2 linked regions of the Neodiprion lecontei genome follow. The protein of the gene in region 1 purifies or fractionates together with the protein of each later gene. This does not show direct contact. Links are inferred from orthologs where the notes say so. Each region holds a gene or a part of one and is shown on either strand. Other genes may lie near its edges.

The links.
Region 2: the proteins of calcyclin-binding protein (region 1) and OTU domain-containing protein 5-A purify together in Homo sapiens (affinity purification with mass spectrometry; 4 studies listed by BioGRID and IntAct, with this or other methods). This does not show direct contact. The link is inferred for Neodiprion lecontei from reciprocal best matches to the Homo sapiens genes CACYBP and OTUD5.

Annotation. Positions count from the first base shown.
Region 1 is NC_060262.1:27,525,707-27,528,990, forward strand, and holds calcyclin-binding protein, read right to left. Parts: upstream 2,101-3,284; 5' UTR 1,914-2,100; coding exon 1,890-1,913; intron 1,626-1,889; coding exon 957-1,625; 3' UTR 580-956; downstream 1-579. UniProt on the Homo sapiens protein: May be involved in calcium-dependent ubiquitination and subsequent proteasomal degradation of target proteins. Probably serves as a molecular bridge in ubiquitin E3 complexes. Participates in the ubiquitin-mediated degradation of beta-catenin (CTNNB1).
Region 2 is NC_060264.1:33,610,301-33,614,235, forward strand, and holds the start of OTU domain-containing protein 5-A, read left to right. Parts: upstream 1-922; 5' UTR 923-1,069; intron 1,070-1,219; 5' UTR 1,220-1,413; coding exon 1,414-1,554; intron 1,555-2,189; coding exon 2,190-2,281; intron 2,282-2,377; coding exon 2,378-2,496; intron 2,497-2,680; coding exon 2,681-2,829; intron 2,830-2,899; coding exon 2,900-3,055; intron 3,056-3,144; coding exon 3,145-3,301; intron 3,302-3,437; coding exon 3,438-3,649; intron 3,650-3,736; coding exon 3,737-3,856; intron 3,857-3,935. UniProt on the Homo sapiens protein: Deubiquitinating enzyme that functions as a negative regulator of the innate immune system. Has peptidase activity towards 'Lys-48'- and 'Lys-63'-linked polyubiquitin chains. Can also cleave 'Lys-11'-linked ubiquitin chains (in vitro).

The sequences.
Region 1 (3,284 bases):
TGCCCTGACCATATTTCAAATTTCTTGACTTTTCTCGGACTTTCCGGTTTTTCCTGACTAGTAGCCACCATGTCTTGAATTGCGAATTTTTTTTATAAATCTGAACAGTGGTCTGAAAATGTAATTACACATAGGTATTTACATCATAAAAATATGAACGGTCGAACAGGATTTTAGTTTTTCTAGCTTGGTTAGATTGCGGAACAAAATACCATACTGCATCTATGTATTTTGTAAATTACAATTACACTAGCCATTAATTATACACCGAAGCGAATTGTATTTATTTGAAAACAAATAAAATCGCAAATTTAGAAAAACTACCAATTTCTTTTCCTTTAGCAATAAATTATTTAAGTATTCGAAACCATACCGCTGGTAACAAAAATTTGTAATTATCAAACTAAAGTAAAAAGGAAGTTATTTTAAATCCTCTAACATAGTTCTGCTGCTTTAAATTGCCCGTGTGTATCATTAAAATTTTGCATTTCTATAGGATTTAAGTGGTCGAATGCTGTCTGTGGCTCATGATCAAAGGAAGATGCAATAATACTCTCGGGGATATTAAAAACAAGGCGATTATAATTTTATAATTTATTTATTGTATTTGTCTTCAAGGTTACATATTCCTACACAGCAGAAACATATATTTCGCGATGCTGAATAAACGATAGTTATGATCATTAGAAAACCGATAAGAACTTATACTGCAAAGCGGTATACATTCAGAGAATCTCTAATGCAAGGTCAACCTCTGAACCACGCGCACACTGCCAGTGCCAACACATGATGAAGTTTTCAATCGTAGCGTGTGTCCGCTACGCTTAGCTCATGTCAAAGTTGTGCGTGGGCACGTGGCTAAGAGGTTACTCTTTCACCAGAGAATCCCTGTATATTATGAAATCTTAATTTCTATAGTATATAAACATAAGTTTATGACATTAACAATATATCATTCAAAGAGGTGAAACAGAAGGCAGGCCGGATGTTCGTTTGTCTTGACTTTCGGTCCATGCTTTTGCGATCGTTCTCTTCATATCGTCATCACCCTCATCATAAAACTTCTTCATAAGACTCATCAAATTTGAGCTTGGGTCACTATCCTCGCTCATTTCAGGCACTGCTGGTGTCTTAGATTCTTTTATTCTTTTTTCAACACCAGTAACATGGGACCAATTCTTAGGTGATTTTTTAGCCAAAAATATAGCAATCATATCAGTTTTAACTTTTGTATAGCTTTGTTCAGGAATTATTTCTTCACATAAATTGTTAATAGGAAGCTGATAATTTCGACTGTCCAATCCTAAGACGCGAAGATCAATAGATCTCTCCATGAAATCGCAGTATACCGCTTCTTTTGGTAAAGATTGAACATTCTTTAATGTAATGTATATTTTTATAAACTTTTCTGACTGATCCCATGCATAATTGTTCAGTTTAACTTCATAACATTTGTTACCAAACACTTGTGTTGAAGTTGGTTTAGTTTCCGGGTTTTGGTTTCCTTCTAAGTGCTTAGACAATTCTGTTTGAAGTTTTCGTAGCTCCAATGTGAGAATATCCTTTGTCTTTTGTCGAGTTGCTTGTTCCATAAACTTATTTAGCTCCTCGATATCCAGTTTGATCTGTAATGTTGATCATTTTTAACAGAGAATTCTCACAGAAAGTTTACCCAATGTATAAAAATGTTCAAATCAAATTTTTGGTTGAATATGTTGATCTAGTTTTTTTTTTGTTTGGGAATTAAATTGTATGTTCACATATTAAATTCACAATGATACAAATGTCACGAATTTGACAGCTAAAACCGAAACCCGTAGAACATTCTATGAACTTTAAGCTTTGTCGGAGTTTTTGAGATAAATTAGGATCGTAGGCTGTGCACTTACTTCATCGATTTTAGACGGTGACATTTCGTTTTCGAACTGATATCAAAGTCGAGTTAAACTTCTTAAATTGTCTTCGTTAGCAAGATTTTTTCTTCAAATTGCGTGATTAAATTTTCTACGTTTCACGTTGCTTCAAGTTCCAATGCCTTACACCATATACCATAGTCTTGAAACACAGGCAGTATACAGCACGGTCTTATAGGTATACAGGCTTAGAAACGAATCCTCATTTCAATGAGGACATGTGACACCGTTACGAGCTCTGAATATTCTTTTCGATCGCCGCCACACGCGTCGCTGCGGTCTAGTAGTATCTTCTACCGACGGTCTTCTCGGTGTCCCCCCCTTGCCCCTGTAACACACGACCGTCGGTACAATTTTTTTCTTTTCTATTTCATAATCCCCACTAACCACGGTCAACTGTAGTACGAGAATCTTGCGACTACTAGATAACATGATTGTAACCCTATCCAAAAGTATTATTTACATGTATTACAGTTTACTACGGAAACCCCCTAGATAAGGTTTTCCGGGAGAATAGTAAGAGCATATAGATTAATACGAGTTTAGTCAACAAAACATTAATGTAATATAATATAACTAATGAAATTGTTTGCAGTTCGTCTATAGATGATTCTAGTGCAGTTAGAATTATTTGATAGTTGACCAATTTTTTTTAAGAACATAATAAATTCTATATGTATCTAACCGACAATCATATTTAAAGTTTAATATTTTCAATAAATTCCGTAACATATCAATAGAGAATAATTTTTAGGGCAATAATTTATTGTTGCAATTGTATGATAGCTAACCAGTTCTTCTGTTTATTAAGATTATAAAATTACTAAGTTGAGGTTATCACGTCATTATTGGGCGACAGCCCCCTTCCGTGTTTTTCGTACAGGATGCAGGTGTGTGCAGGTTTCAATCATGTCTTTGTCATATGTAGGCTAATCTTTATTCTTTGGGCTGCGTATAACAATAGGCGCGGTGTGCCCGTAACGCCGAAGGTGGCGATCTCAGCCCAATGGTTCGAAAAAGTTCGACCTGCATATGACAAGGGCATAACCTAAGGGCATGACCGAAACCGTTGTTGACTGAGGATATACACCGTAAGTGGTCAGAGAATTCAAATTTTGCCTGTCGTCGCATGTTACGGTAATACTGTAAACATTAGGTCGCGTTGTGCATAGTTTACGTAGTGTTTTCACCCGGCTATTGAGACCATAGAGTTATTTATGTAAAATAGAGCGTAAGCTACGGCGTAAGCGTCCCGTGAAGGGATTTGGATCGGTTCTCTGAAGGACAGAAGATCATAATTCCCCCACCCTCTCTGTTGCTCTACCTGCGTAGTGGGGGCCACGAGAGGGGAAAAACAGCTAGGCAGACGCG
Region 2 (3,935 bases), on another chromosome or scaffold:
GAATCACGACAAAGGTGCCTTGAGCGAGGTTTCATTCAATTTTGGCCAGTCATTACATTTCCCCGAACGTTCCGTTTCTTGTGCCACCCACGGATTAGCTCGGCGCTATTAAATATTAATGAGATGTAAGAAAACTCCGGCCAATTCATCCATTCACGCTCCTTGGGATCGTTTCTTCAACCCGTCTTCTGCTCCCACCCTGCGGTTCTTACCCGCCTTTTGCAGCTCATTTCTTTTGCCGCCAACCATCAGGAACTCTTCAATGAACGGCGAACAATGAATATCGGGAAAGCTTGTTACAGACAGAAGACGGACGAGACTGATAACTTGTCGCTAACTGTCCGATGCTTTATAATTAGCCTCGAGTACGAAGACCCCTCGTTTCCTTTTTTGCTTAATCAGAAATCATTGTTCCAGCCTCCCATTATTCTTCTTGATTCGATCGTGCAGTTAGGTAACTCTTTTAGAACATTCAGGCAGAATCTGAATTCAAGTCCGATGATGAGAAGTGAAACCTATTGTTGAGATTCTCACCCACAACTGCTGGAGCTGGACGATGCATAGAGGTTAAAGCACATCTCGCCTCAACCGCCTCAACGAATTAACAAGTCGCTGATTTACTAAACTTTTGATCGGCATGGCGTGTTCGCTTGCAAGCGTAAGGATAATTTTGTAGCAAATTAATAAATTTCAACATCGGTGCAAGGAAATGCTCGTATCAGATTTTTGCTCCCGGCAATTCTATAAAGTCCAAGTTCTTGATACGTACAAATATTGTTTCTTTTACCGATAAAACAGTCTCCTGATGTTGTATCGAATGAGACTACAGACGCCATCTATTGGCTGATGCCTGAAGCGGGCAGGCAGCGTCATCATCTTTTGACTGGAACCAGTGTCTGCCATTTCCGTAATCCATGGTCCTTGTGCCGCTGCTGCTGATAGTGCAAATATGGCGGCCACACAAAGCATTTGTAACAACAGTGCGTATTAATATCACAGTCAACAAATAACGGGGTTAGAACAGTCAGAGTTTGGAAGTGGAATGAAGTGCTGACGACAAATCACCTCGGTACAGACTGTTAATAAACGATTAATTTCCCTTAATTATATAACGCGATTCCCCGAATCGAGGATAAAATCGTCGTCGCCCTGCTAGTGCTGCGTATTATATCTATGTATTCATATATTTCAATAAAAAGTAATTGATGTTCGTTCCTAGTACTGTGCAGTCGTGATTTCGTTTCGCGATTCGGTCGTTAGGTATGACCTTCGCATCTTTTCGCCCCAGCAATAAACTGGCATTTGGAAATTCGACGAGGCGGTGAAACTGCGGACCGAGTTGAGTTACTCTGCTTATCGCACGCGAAGTATTTCTCCCGTTTTGTTCGCCCGTCGCTTTCGCGGCCGTCCATCATGACGATTTTGGCGAAAAAGAAACCCAACGGTACGAAGGACAGACGCGAGCCTGGCAACGGAGCCGAGGTTGATGTACACGGGGTTCAAGTCGAGCATGGAGCTGGTCCGATCGCCTTGCAGTCCAACAGTTCTTATCAGGTAATTAGAGAGACAATTTATGGTTAGAAACATCGCATTCGTTCCCAACCACGTTCGAAGGTTGAGAGAGAAGGAATAGAAAAATTTCACGTCCAGCAGTGGTCACTCATGGTAATCCATTACGTGTGACAATTGGTCTGAAATTAGAAATAAATGCTAATCAGTGTCGAAGGAAATTTTTGCATATAGATTTGACATCTACATTATTTGTTAATTGCGGATTGTGTAATTCCTGAAGTATTCATTTTCACAATATTGTAATGATTTGCCAATAAGCGACCTCTGAACAACACTTCTTTTGTTCCTCACGACATCTATATTTACCATTTGGATGAATGGTTTATCTATTATCTATCCTATGTATCTAGAGTTCAGATAATTGTTTTACTGGTAAACTGGTTTGTACCGATTGATAGATCATCAGCAAACATGCTTGCCTAGGAGAAGGAATCCTCTTTATCGTTGGCTGAAACACTGCGATGAAATCTAAGCTCTGCTTTCTACAGTCTGTTGCTAACATTTCCTATCTATTTCAACTAACGATACTTGTTAATCTTTAATTTTTCAATTCACTGAATTTCACATTTACGATTTTGCTAATCAAAGTTGTTCGTATCACCGATCTCTTATTACAGACTAGTGTTGATCGCCGGGAAGAAAAGCACTTTGAGGAGGCTAGTGGATCAAGCCATGGGAAACGTCATCGCCAACGTGCGAGTCCTCACAGGTATCTAATTTTCTCACCTTGTTATAAAGATAAACTAGCTCGATTGTTTCTCACCTTCCAAATCATCTTTATAATTGCTTGGTCATACTACAACAGCTGCATTGGCAGAACGTCCCGGTCTAAACGTGAAAGAGAACGAGACAGGGGTCGAGAGAGAGAAAGAGAGCGGGAAAGGCAAGCGACTCCACCAACGGCATCATGCAGTGGGCTGCAAGGTGAGAATTGCTCAATGAACTTGTAATGAAATTGTTCAATTGTGATTTTTTTGTTACAACGGTATTATTCATATACCTGAATTTATCATTTGCATACATCCGTAATCCTAGAAATAAAGAAGGAATCACCTTGCCACTAATTATTCTTCAAATTCTAACACTCTAATATTTGCCATTTTTTTAGGTACAGATGCTAATGTTATTGGAAACAACCGTATGGCAATAGTAGCTGGTGCTCCGAGCCTTGAGCCAGAATTAGCAAATGGCTATAACAGTGGGGATGAGTACACAGGTCGCACTGGAAACAATTTGACCATTGCGGAATGGCAAGAGGTTAGTGTTAGCTGCCATTAAAAGAGTAAAAAATAATTACTTGCTACTTCTATTTACAATGAATTTTCAGCGTGACCGATGGTTTGAAAAACGGATGCGGAAGATGGGGTTCGTGGTTAAAAAAATGGGTGAAGACGGAGCATGTCTTTTTAGAGCTGTCGCCGACCAGGTTTACGGTGATCAAGAGATGCACAGTGTCGTACGAAAGCATTGCATGGATTATATTGTGAGTAATTCACAATGATTTCGAGCTTTGTCATACAAAGAACTCGATATCAATAATGTTTACTATAGTGAAGGACCATTTTATTTCAGGCTGCCAATCAGGAATTTTTTTCCCACTTTGTTGCCGAGGATTTCTCTACTTACGTGGACAGAAAACGACAAGAATACGTCCACGGTAATCATATAGAGATGCAGGCAATGTCAGAGATGTACAATCGTAGCGTTGAGCTATTTTGCTACGGAACAGGTAAGCGATTCGATGATGTTGACAAAAGGCTATTTGGTAGAAGATATGTCTTCCATACTATACAAAATCACATGAAAATACTGTTGAATATAATTGACAAAGACGTTTTTCCTTTCGCTTCAATGAAACACAAAAGAACCGATCAACATTTTTCACGGGGTACACAAAAGCGACAACGAACCGATTCGGTTGTCGTATCAACGCGGCAGTCACTACAACAGCATCGTAAACCCCTATAAAGCAACAATCGGCGTCGGACTAGGTTTGCCCTCGTACAATCCCGGAGCGGCGGATCGTGCTCTCGTTTCTGATGCGGTTCGACAGAGCGAAGAACTGCATATTGAACAGGTTAGAAATTCTACGTTCGTTATTTTATTTATCGATCATTATTTCGGGAAAGTATGACTAATCCATCCTTATTTCTCGGTGACACAGACCATGCTTGAAGACAAGATAAAAGCCACCGATTGGGAGGCTACCAATGAAGCAATCGAAGAACAAGTCGCGAGAGAGAGTTACTTGCAGTGGTTACGTGACAATGAAATGCGTAAAGCTGTAAGTATAATGCCGTCAGGTAACCATCATTGCATCTCATTGATTAACGGTGATCTACCTCTACCGAATGTCGAATCAA